3 linked regions of the Cricetulus griseus genome follow. The protein of the gene in region 2 interacts with the protein of the main gene of each other region in a pairwise test. Links are inferred from orthologs where the notes say so. Each region holds a gene or a part of one and is shown on either strand. Other genes may lie near its edges. The genes, in order: Trim59, Vti1b and Ptpn5.

Region 1 (3,649 bases), on a different chromosome or scaffold from region 2:
TCTGTGGAGTGTATTCTTGATTAATCAGCTTGCCAACATCACAGAGAGCTGCCAAAAATTTTTTTTTCTTCTGTTCTAATGCATCAGTAAGCTCCTTAAAGTACTGGAGAACAACCTCCTTATCACCTTGAAGCATTTTCTCAGAATGACATTTCTGTTCTTCAAGCTTTTCAATAAGACGAGTGATATCTGTCCAATGTGTGTCCGTTAACTGTTTAAACAACTTCTGAGGTGTATCTTTTTCTTTCAAATAGGCACTTTGAAGGTCATCTATAGGATGACCATGATGTTGGCCTATAGTAAGACAATGGCCACAAACTAATTTTTTATCTAGTAGACAATAAACATTTAATGGTTGCCTGTAATGTTCAGGGCAGGTGACAACATCTGGGTGGTCTTCTTGCTGGTACTTTTCAATAATTGCTCTTAATGCAAAATTTACAGGTAAGGATTCTATACCAGTTGAAGCAATTTCAATAATACTTCTGCAGTTAGGGCACTTGAGTGGAATTCGCAAAGGTCTCCATATATAAAAGTTACCAGATGCCTGAAGAACATTTTCCAAACAATTTCTACAAAATGTATGAGAGCATGGTAGTACTCGAGGATCTTCAAAAATACTGTAACAAATGGGACACGTTAACTCCTCCTCAAAATTGTGCATTTCCTGTCAAGACAAAAAAAAAAAAAATTTAAGCATATATCTGGCACATACTATGTTAAGATTTTAGGCATGATCTTCGAATTAAATACTGTATTTGCCATTTAAAAGAAAAGCAGAGATTTCTTTTTAGATGACGCTTTCTTAGTAAGTAAGTGGATCACCTTAAGAGTTTATTCCTTTCAACAAAATCTCAAATAATTTGTAATAAAATGCTTCAAATCAGTCAATCTGGTTTTATGTAATGAAGGCTACACTTCAGTTGAAGTCTACTTAATAATTACTATTATTATATGGAAGTCATTACTTTCTAAGATACCAAAGTAAAAAGTACACTGGTGGTACACACCTTTAATTCCAGCACTGGGGAAGCAGAAGCAAGTGGATCTCTGTGAGTTTGAGGCCAGCCTGGTCTATAGAGCAAGTGCCAGGACAGGCTCCAAAGCTACACAGAGAAACCCTGTCTCAAAAAACAAAAAACTTAAGGAATAAACAAAACTATACATTCCATTTAAAGTGAGGGGGAAAAAGTACCTGTTTGTGATCGTTTTGGTTTTTTGCTGAGATAAATGCTAGAGTTGCAGGTATGAGGCATCACCCCAGCTTCAATGATTCTTACATTTGAATTCTCTACAAATTATTACTATTAATGTAAGATCAGCATATAGCAATTCCTATTTCTTCCTCTCTTTTCCTTTTGCCTTTTTTTTGTGTGTATGTGTGTGATACTAATAATCAAACTGAAGGCCTCTACATGTTAGGCAAATACTTAACAATGAGTTATACAACCCGGGATCCAAACCTATACTGAGGTTTTCTAAAGCGGTAATTTTAACTTGAAGATTTGAAAGGGAAAAAAGTTAATTATAATTAGCATTAGCAATAAAAATGATTTGAAAAACAGGAGCTGATTGTGGTGATAAGTACTGATTGAAAAGTGAGAATCTAAAACAAATGGCAAAGAAAATAAAGGATACCACTCATCTATTTCCTTCACTTACAATGTTAGAGAGGCTCAAGAGATAGTTCTGTGGTTATGACTGCAAACTTGTTCTTCCAGAGGACCAGAATTCAGTTCCCAGGACACAAGGAAGCTCACAACCACATATAAAACTAGCTCCAGGGTATCCAACACTTTCCCAGTACCCGTACATACCTGCCTCACAACACTCATGCACACACTTGCCCTTTTTAAAAATGTAGCTCAAGAATATCCCTAAAGCAGAAAAATGAACCCATCAATTGTTCAGAGATTCACTGACAGATGATGGTCCTCCATCAGCTATTAATATTTCCAACAAAAGGTGGCAGTTCTGCAGCCTACCTCAAAACTGCCTATCCTTTGGCAGGCAAAACTCACTGTTTAAAAGAACCTTAAACAATCCTAGGTGTTCTTTATAAAGAATATAAAAGTTGCCAAAATGGCCGGGCGGTGGTGGTGCATGCCTTTAATCCCTGCCTTTAATCCCAGCACTCGGGAGGCAGAGGCAGGTGGATCTCTGTGAGTTCAAGATAGCCTGGCCTTCAAGAGCTAGTTCCAGAACAGCCTCCAAAGCCAGAGAAACCCTGTCTCAAAAAAAAAAAAAAAAAAAAAAAAAACTACCAAAACCTACATAAACTAGTTCCAGATTAAAAGTTCATAAAAAATGGGGCTACGGAAGTAATTTAGTAGAGTGTGGTATCTTGCATCTCCAGCGTCACCAAAAAGTTTGTAGCAATAGCAACTAAAAGTAACTAATTATTCTTTAAAGCCCCACCCAATCTGTTTCCTTAGCTCTAACCATCTGAGACTGCCATTACCCAGATTAAGTGTCTTCATGAATTTAATTAAAGAGACATTTTACTTCAAGCTCTGAACAAGACTTCATAAGAATGTAACATTTATATTATGTATCAGAATATAAGCCTCCTGTAAGGTCAGAAATAGTATCTAAACAATAGCAGTGTTAACAGTGATCTGGGCTTTCAAATAATAAAATCTCTTAGAAGCAATGAAGAGGCCATCAGAAAATATCTCATGTATTGTCTGACAATATTCAGGATCCAAAGGGAGTCAAGTTGTGGCATGTAGAAACTAAGTCTTGACCTGCACAGGATCCCAGGAAACAAATGACTGAACAACAGTACAGAAGGCGACAGTCATTGAAAAGAAACACAAGTGAATGCACATTTAGAAAAGGCCTTTACAACTTTATCCCACACCCACAGAGAGCTGTGAAGTCATACAAAAATTACCGAAGAAAAACAAATCTGTTTCTCAGAGTACTTCAATGACCTCAAAATGTACAATGAAGGAAAATACAGAATAGTTATTTGAAAGGAATAAAATTTAAGCAATGAACATACATTCAAGCCAGATTTAGTATTAGCTATTTGGTATGCAGGTAGCAAAACTTCAAGAAAATTAGATTTTAGGACTAGTTTGCTTACACATTAAATAGCTCTAGTATTATTAAATCTTCAAAGTTCTATTTCGTGTGTCTCACAGGAAGCTAGGGAGGGGTTTGGACATGGCTCAATGGAAAACCATTTACTAATGCAAGCTTGAGGACCTGAGTTTGAATCCCCAGAATCCATGGAAAGCTGGACACAGTACATATCAATAAACCAGGCATGCAGACAGCAAAACGGAGGCAGAGGTGGGAAAAAAAAAAAAAGTCTCCAAGAAGTTAGAAGGAGACCCCCCACACATGTCCTGGGAGGAGAAGGCAACATACATATTTGTACAAATATAAAACACTCAATTTTGGGGACAGGGGGAAGTGAGAATCTCTGAGAATCCATTTAATGACCCTATAGCTCAACTTTTAAGTTGTAAGAAGTTTCTTACTGATTTGCCAGACTGACAAAAGTATACTGGGAGGGGGGATAAAAAGAACTAAAATTTTTCTTATTAAAAAAAGCCAAAGCTAGGTGTGGTGGCACCTGCCTTTAATCGCAGCACTCATGATGCAGAATCAGGAAGTTTGAGGCCAGCCTGGTCTACAG
Region 2 (4,209 bases):
GCCACTGTCCAAAAGTCACTTTCCAGGGCTCTTATTCATGCCAGGCTCTCCTTATTTGTACCTCTTTATTTCTGTGACAGAGAAATATAAGGCTTGGAGCTGATGAGACAGAACCGTTATTAGGATCATACAACTCTTACATGCATGACAGACAGCTCACAACCACCTGCAACTCCAGCTCCAGGTGTTCCAAAACCCTCTCTGGATTCCACAGCCAGTACACTTGCACTCATACATGTATACACACACTTAAATATAATTATTTTAATTTAATTTTTGAGGCAGGATTTCTATGTATAGCCCTGCTGTCCTGGAACTCTGTAGACCAGGCTGGCCTTGAACTCAGTGATCCATCAGCCTCTGCCTCCCAAGTGCTGGGGTTAAAAGCATGTGACACCACTCCTGGCCCATCTTTTAACTTTGTAAGAAAAAGAAATATAAGACTTTGCACCACCACTAACAACCCTAGACTTTGTCATCTCTGCACAATGCATGTTACATTTTATTTATTGAGTTCAATGGTCAATGAGTTCAAACTAGTAAAACCCAGGGCTTCAAAGACAAAAAAAAAAAAAAAAAAAAACCAACACCAAAACATTCCCCCAGGAACCTGCTCCCCTACACACCTTGGAAAATGGAATGTGGGACTTTGATTAAATCTATCTATCTATCTATCTATCTATCTATCTATCTATCTATCTATCTCCATGTTTAAATACTGAGCTCTCTCACCCAAACTTTTGAAGAGCAGGCTTTTTGTGCAAACCATACACAGAAAGGACTTCATGATTGTTGACATATTTCACTTAACGGCAGATTAGATGTGGTAAGACCGGTTTGCCTTCCACACCAGATCATAAATTACCCAAGGGCAGAGACAAAATCTATTTTGTTCAACATATGACTCGGTCTTTGCATAATGTCTATGCTTAAACCTGTTGTGAGAACCCAGGGCAGCCTAATGAACTACACTGGCGAAGCCCCTAGAAGCCCAGTTTCCTCTTCTGAAAGCATGTGACACTTAAGCCCCCCCAATATCAGTGTTTTACCATTAGAGGGCAGGCAGGACTCTGCTCACCTATCTATCAAGGGTTAAGAGTAAACATTTAATCGAATCAGAGAGCTGAACGAACTGCGATGACAGATAGGTTGATGGAGGCTCCTATGCTCTCCCAGTCTCTGCGCAACAGGGCTGACCTTCCACGCCCCTGCACAGCCGCGACCCATCTGCCCAACTCCCTCACTTAACTACAATTCCCAGCATGCACCGCAGGCCCGGTGTGCCCGGATGAGGCGGCCGAGGCGCCCGTCCCGCGGGCCCCCTGGGGCCCTTCGCCTTGGTACCTCCCCAGCCCGGCTGGCAGTCTCCAGCTCGGAGACAGCCGATCGTCCCCCGCGCGGCGCCGCGCCCCTGGAGTAGCCGGGAGTCGTCCTCGCCCCCGGCTTTCCGTCAGGCTTTGGCGCCCGGCGCCCGCGCGGCGACAGCAAGGGGAGGGCGTCCGGCTCGGAGGACCCCGGAAGCACCTGGTTCCGGCTGGCCCGGGTACGGCGGTCGCGGTGATGGCTTCGGGACCCGGCAGCTGAGCGCTGAAGGGTGAGTGGGCCCTGCGCCCGGAATCTCAGAGGCCGACGCTCACGTGCAGCCTGCGCCATGGCCACCTCCGCCGCCTCCTCCGAGCATTTCGAGAAGCTGCACGAGATCTTCCGCGGCCTTCTTGAAGACCTACGAGGAGTTCCCGAGCGGCTGCTGGGGACCGCGGGGACAGGTGAGGCGGGGGCGGGACCAGACCCGAACACCACCCGCCCGGTGCTGTCCTCCCAGATGCGGACCCCTGGCTCCCCCGGCACGCCCCCTGCTGCTGTCCGGCCCGCGAAGCCCAGGGTCTGCTGCAGCCACTTGGCTTGCAATGAGATAGACAGACACCAGGGTGTCGTCTCTTAGGGATCCTCTAGTGTCCTACTCCCCCCAACCCCAATTCTTAGTTATCTGCCTCTCCCAGGAGCAAAGGAGGTTCTTAAATCTGCGGTCCTGTATTTCATTAAAACGACTTCTAAAAAAAATCGTAAGATTGGAGGTTGGGGATGTAGGAGTTTGGTAGTTTGATAGGCAATGAAAAATTTTAATTAATTCTAACCATAGCGTTTAGCTTATAGGTGAGACAGAGGCCGGAAGTGAGGGAAGGCAAACAGTTACATTGAAGAGGAACTTGAATGTGTCACATAATACTGTTGGATGTCTTGGGGGAAATCCGTAAGGATCATAAGCAGTTGGGTAATGTGGATTTCATTTTAGAAGCAAGGCTGCGGTAGCTGGATAGAGGATGTGAGAATGGATATGAGGCTGTGTTAGGAGCTTCCATGACAGTTGACTAGGTAAGCATGGGACTCTGGAGAGTGAGCATTAAATCCAACAGGTGGTTCCGAGGCAGACTTATGAGACTGGTGGATAAGAATAGGAAGAAAGATTGAAGAGTTTCCGTGTTTTCTCACGTGATCAGTTGAGTGGATGAACTTAAATATGAGGAGCAGATTGGTTTGAGTTATAGATGTGACTGGCTACCTGTAGAGTGTATTCTGTATCTAGCCTGACAAAATATTTTTCTGCCATTAAAACCATCATCAAGAATTCATTAATAAAGTAGATATTGTAAAAACCAAGAATTTGCCAGTGGCAAATTTTCTTTTCTTTCTTTCTTTTTTTTTTCTTTTTTCTTTTTCTTTTTTTTTGTTTTTTGTTTTGTTTTGTTTTTTGTTTTTTGAGACAGGGTTTCTCTGTATTGCTTTGGAGCCTGTCCTGGAACTCTCTTTGTAGACCAGGCTGGCCTTGAACTCCCAGAGATCCGCCAGCCTCTGCCTCCCAAGTGCTGGGATTAAAGGCGTGTTCCACCAACACCCAGCCCCAGAGGCAAACACTTTTAATCCTAGCACCTGGCATGTAGAAGCAGGAGAATCTGTGTGAGTTAAAGGCCAGCTTGATCTACCTAGCAGACTAGGTTTTATATAGTAAGACATTGGGGGGGCGGGGCAGACTGGCTTCAGACTGGCTTAGTAGCTATGTGACCTTGCAAGTTTTTTAACCAAACTAGCTTCCTCTACAAAATAAAATAGCATCTAACTTCATGGGGTTTTTTGTGAGGAGTGAATGAGTTAATATATGTAAATCCCTTAAAAATACTATCTGGCAAGAGCTACTAGCTATTATTCATATTTGGGAATTTACTGTTTTTTTTTGTTTAATTTAAAATATTAGCTCTTTATGTAGCTAGCTATTCTTAGGATGCTCTGTTTTGTTTGTTTGGTTTTGGTTTTCTTGTTTCTCTGTGGAGCCCTGGCTGACCTGGAACTCTCTCTGTAGACCAGGCTGGCCTCGGACTCATAAGTACATCTGCATCTGCCTCCTGAGTTCTGGGATTAAAGGGGTGCTCCATTACAGACCCAGATTCAGAACACTTACTTCCTAATGTACTCAACACTTTACATATTTATGATACAGTATATTGCTTGGCTTTCTGTGACTAGAAAAGGAGTTTGGAAATGTGCTCTACAAATCAGCACCATCAACACCACCTGGGAACTTGTTAGACACACATGCTTACCCCCCACCCCAACCTCCACCCCCACCCCAGCAAACAGAATCACTAACTGTTGTGACAAGCAGTCTGTCTTAACTGCTCTCAGAAGGATTTCTGGGGCTGGCTTAAGTTTGAGAACCAATGATCTAGAAATGAAATAATATTTTGTTCTGTGTAGTGTGTGTAATAAACTCCCAGGCATAGTGCCCAGCACGCCTGTATCTGAGTGTGGTAGTGCACACTTAGGAGGCAGAGGCAGCAATGGGTCTCTCTGACTTTGAGGCCAGCCTGGGGTTACACAGTTGAGACCCTTTCTCAAAACATAAAATGAACAACATATATATTTGTTAAATTATTGTAAAAATCATTTTTGGTTGTTAAAGGTACTATGAGTTCTTAGAAGAAAATAGCTGAGTAGGCATAATAATGTGTTTTTTTCATATTTTCATTACTCTTCAAATCGATATATATATACCTGTTAAAACAACCAAAGCAAAAGAGATACTTATTTCCCCAAAGTGTAGTCTGTATTCTCTCTTGGCCCTTGAAGGATAACTGTCACGGTGTGTCCTAATTTAGGAAGTTTTTGTGGCAATGACAGTCTTGCCATGTATGGTAATCATTAATCTCAAAGCCT
Region 3 (3,649 bases), on a different chromosome or scaffold from region 2:
TTTAGCACCTGGTCATAAAGCTCACTGTTACTGGATATACTAGATGGTCTTTGCCCAGTGCAGATAGAGATACCATCTAGGGCTCTTGTGAGAATCAAAAGAAATAATAATTAAAAAAATCCCCACAATACACAATTGCAGAACTGACCATGGAGTTGGTGAGCAGACTTGTTTCTTCTCCCTGGCAAAATCTACAATATCTACTGAACAGGAAGGGACACAGAGGACTGTTTTCAAAGGGAGAGGATGATGGTGGGAGCTGAGAGCTGGAGCTGGGGTGATGGAGGAAGGATTTATGGGCTCACTGAGGTGGGAATGATGTGAGGAAGGTACTGGTCACTTGGCCTGCTGGTATTTGGGTGGAGCTCAAGGCTGGAGAAGAAAGCTGGTGCCCACCACTTTAGGTTTTTTGCAGGTGGAGACAAGCTCTGGAGATCTTGGAGCACTGAGCCAAAGAGGCACAGTGGATTAGCTACCTGGCTTGTGAGTTTGATGGGAAAGTGGGCTGTTGGGCTTCAGTTCCTCCTTTCCCCCATTGATGTTCTTTTATTAACTAGGGGTGCAGGCCTGGCAGTGGTAGCACACACCTAAACCCCAGCACCTGGGAGGCAGAGGCAGGCAGATTTCTATGAGTTTGAGGCCAGCCTGGTCTACAGGGCGAGTTCCAGGACAGCCAGGACTATACACAGAGAAACCTGTCTTGAGGTTGGGAAAGGATTTAGGGCCTGAGCTTGAAACCCAAGGGAGAAAAGGGGGGTGGGGACAGGAGCATGGGGACAAACATCTTTGATGTTATCAGGCAGAGGAGGGCGGGAAGATAGGAGAGGCTTTCTTTTCTCCTTGAGGGTTGACCAAGCTTTGTGTATGCTACTAGGCACATGTTCTACCCCTGAACTGCACCACCAGGAGGAGGTTGCTTTCTTCGGATTCCAGAGCACAGTCCTTCCATCAGATCCAGAAGTACTACTGTCTGCCTAGTATATGGTATCGTCACCCTTAACTCCTGCGAAGACCCTGCCATTTGTCTGAATTTCCAGATGAGGACATCAGGTCTCAGAGATTAAGAGCATTTCCAGGATGCTGGGAGAGACGACAAGGGGATACTAGTCTATTCCATGTATGGGTTTGTATACTCTGGGGTACTGACTGGCCGGGTGGTGGACTATTATGCATGCAAAGGTGGATGGTCACTTCAAGGGACTCACAAAGAATTCTGCCTGCAGCAAGAAGGGGTCCAGGGCCTTTTCATGCAGCTCCTCTGCTCGGAGGACACGGGAGGCACTGAGCAGGTACTCGTGGGCTGACTCCTCTCGTGGGGACACCAGGTAGCCGAAACCCTCCTCATTGCAGCCAGGGGTACACATGTCCAGGGTCAAGGAGACATTGGAGCCCCTCCTGCAAGGGTCATAGAAGAAGATACTAGCCTTAGACATGAAAGGAAGCAAGAAGATGGTCAGAGGAGAGCAGGGTGGGCTCCAGGAAGAGGGATGTGACAGGAACCTATCCTAAGGAGCACATGGTTCTGTCTACACCTCTGTCCACTCCTTCTTACAGTGGGGTGAGGGCCCCAGTTCCAAAAGCTCAACCCTTAAGCAATCCCTAATGGCCCTCCTCTGGACTCTGTTGTGGAAGGAGGCCCACTGGGGAGACATATGCTAAGGTGAGCCTCAAGCCCAAGAGCACAGCTTCAGACCCCAGAATCACAGTTCTAGAATGAGGTTGTCATGGCATCGAGTGCATCTCAGCTAGCAGAGGCCAGGGCCCTCTGCATCCAGGGAAGAAAGGAGCTCAAAGACAGCCATTCGCAGCAAGGATATCTATACTGGGCCAACTCCATCATGCTCAGTGCCTCAAACCTTCGGATAGGGGGGATCCTCGTTGTGTAGAAAGGGACACTGAGTTTCAGGAGGGCTCTAGCATTGTCCAGGATTTCACTATGATGAAGTGGCAGAGTCAAAAACTATTGTCTAGGTTTTCTGAGTCCTTATCCAGTACATTCTATGACATCTTCTGTGTACTCCAAACCGTGTGTAAGCTTGCTTACCCAGCCCTAAACTCAGATTGTCACTCCCTCCCAAAACTTGCTCATGGAATCCTATGGGGCACTCTAGGTTTTGGGAAATGGTACCTATTGTCCCTTTGTCAAGTCACAAGGAACACAGTTAAATTGAAGGCCCCAGCAAGCCCTATATAAGGAAACCAACTCTGACTTCCTCAAGCCAAGGAGAGTATGGGTGTGCACTCTTGGGCATTTATCTTGAAGTACCCTGGTCAATGTGCATTACTGGAAAAGCATGTGTCTACACACACTAAGTGATGAGGATAACCTTGTGCTCTAAACCAGGAGCTCCCTTCTAATGGGAGCTGAGAATTTGTGATCCCCAGCCCACCCCTCGTCTACCCCTCCCACCTCTCCTGCAGACCCATGGACTTGACAGTCAACGAGGTGGGATCAGTCTCAGGCTTGATGTCCATCACACAGTCAAACACAGGTGTCTCAGGCACCGCGTCCAGGTCCAGGAAGTCATCCTCTACCTTCTCCTCCATCCACTCCGAATAGGTGAAGGAGGGCTGGCGGCTCACTGATTGGCGCCTGTCCTCTGGGGGCAGTGGTACCGGTGGCTCTGGGGGTGCCTTGAGGAGGTGCCACACCTGGTTGGGAGCATACAGCCTGGGATCATGCTCGCTGCCTGCTGGATTCATGGAGGTACCCCTTGGGATTGAGCTGTCTGATGCTATAAGGTCTACAGCAACCACATTCTCCTGGGTCCTAGATGTCAGGTTCTATCCCCACTCTCCCTTCTCTGTCCCCAGTTTTTAGTGGGTTTAATCCCTCTGGGTAGGTACTAGAGGTTCTTTCTGCCTCAGCCCTTTCTTTCAGGCCTATCACTTCTAGAAAGGAGCCTCTTGCTTTAAGTAGGCATGCTGCTGAAGGCGACAAGGCTATCTTCACCCTATTCAGAACCCAGGTTAGCCTGCCTGGGGATCAGATGGATCTAATGGGAAATGGGGCTTTCTAGAGAGGGAACAACTGCCTGTGGCTGAAGACAAGGAGGCACTTTACCAGGGTGGTGATGATGACCAGGCCCACAGTTACAGAGACGAGCAGCAGACTTGGGATTCCCCAGATACCAGAACCCAGCCAGGCCTGGGGAACATCAGACAAACTGGTCAGTGTCCTGAGGGGTTGGGGGAGGACAATATTCTTATCTATTTCACAAGTAATAAGAAAACCCATCCTGGGTCTGGATGGGATGCACACAGATGGCCTTTGGGTTCTTGGAAACATCTCTTGAACTCAGAGATGCCCCAGCCAGGAGTAGTGAGGGAGGGATGGGAAGTCCCAGGTTATCCCACTCCACCCCCATTGTTCTAGGGGTCCCCAGAGTTTACTCACCACAGGTCCCAGATGGTTCAACAGTGTGAGCGAGGAGGAGATGAGGTCTGTGGTGTTCTGCAGCCAGGAGTGGCCATGGCCACTGAGCCAGAGCACCCCACAGGCGAGCTGGGGCAGTCAGGGGAGCAGACTGAGCGTATAGCTGCAGCCCGTTGCCCCTATATTGCCCTGCAAAGCTCACCTTCAGCCCCAACCTGGGTCCCAGGAAACTCGTGAGCCTCTCAGACTGGGCAGTAGAGGGAAGGGCCACCC

Evidence for each region.
Region 1: the proteins of Vti1b (region 2) and Trim59 interact in binary tests that used the Homo sapiens proteins (3 or more experiments, as listed by UniProt). The two-hybrid records come from large-scale screens. The link is inferred for Cricetulus griseus from reciprocal best matches to the Homo sapiens genes VTI1B and TRIM59.
Region 3: the proteins of Vti1b (region 2) and Ptpn5 interact in binary tests that used the Homo sapiens proteins (3 or more experiments, as listed by UniProt). The two-hybrid records come from large-scale screens. The link is inferred for Cricetulus griseus from reciprocal best matches to the Homo sapiens genes VTI1B and PTPN5.

The regions. Positions count from the first base shown.
Region 1 is NW_023276806.1:84,099,030-84,102,678, reverse strand, and holds part of Trim59 (tripartite motif-containing protein 59), read right to left. Parts: intron 668-3,649; 5' UTR 665-667; coding exon 1-664. UniProt on the Homo sapiens protein: E3 ubiquitin ligase involved in different processes such as development and immune response. Serves as a negative regulator for innate immune signaling pathways by suppressing RLR-induced activation of IRF3/7 and NF-kappa-B via interaction with adapter ECSIT.
Region 2 is NC_048598.1:124,459,676-124,463,884, forward strand, and holds the start of Vti1b (vesicle transport through interaction with t-SNAREs homolog 1B), read left to right. Parts: upstream 1-1,339; 5' UTR 1,340-1,651; coding exon 1,652-1,766; intron 1,767-4,209. UniProt on the Homo sapiens protein: V-SNARE that mediates vesicle transport pathways through interactions with t-SNAREs on the target membrane. These interactions are proposed to mediate aspects of the specificity of vesicle trafficking and to promote fusion of the lipid bilayers.
Region 3 is NC_048596.1:145,242,779-145,246,427, forward strand, and holds part of Ptpn5 (tyrosine-protein phosphatase non-receptor type 5), read right to left. Parts: intron 3,506-3,649; coding exon 3,398-3,505; intron 3,149-3,397; coding exon 3,065-3,148; intron 2,653-3,064; coding exon 2,411-2,652; intron 1,396-2,410; coding exon 1,206-1,395; intron 1-1,205. UniProt on the Homo sapiens protein: May regulate the activity of several effector molecules involved in synaptic plasticity and neuronal cell survival, including MAPKs, Src family kinases and NMDA receptors.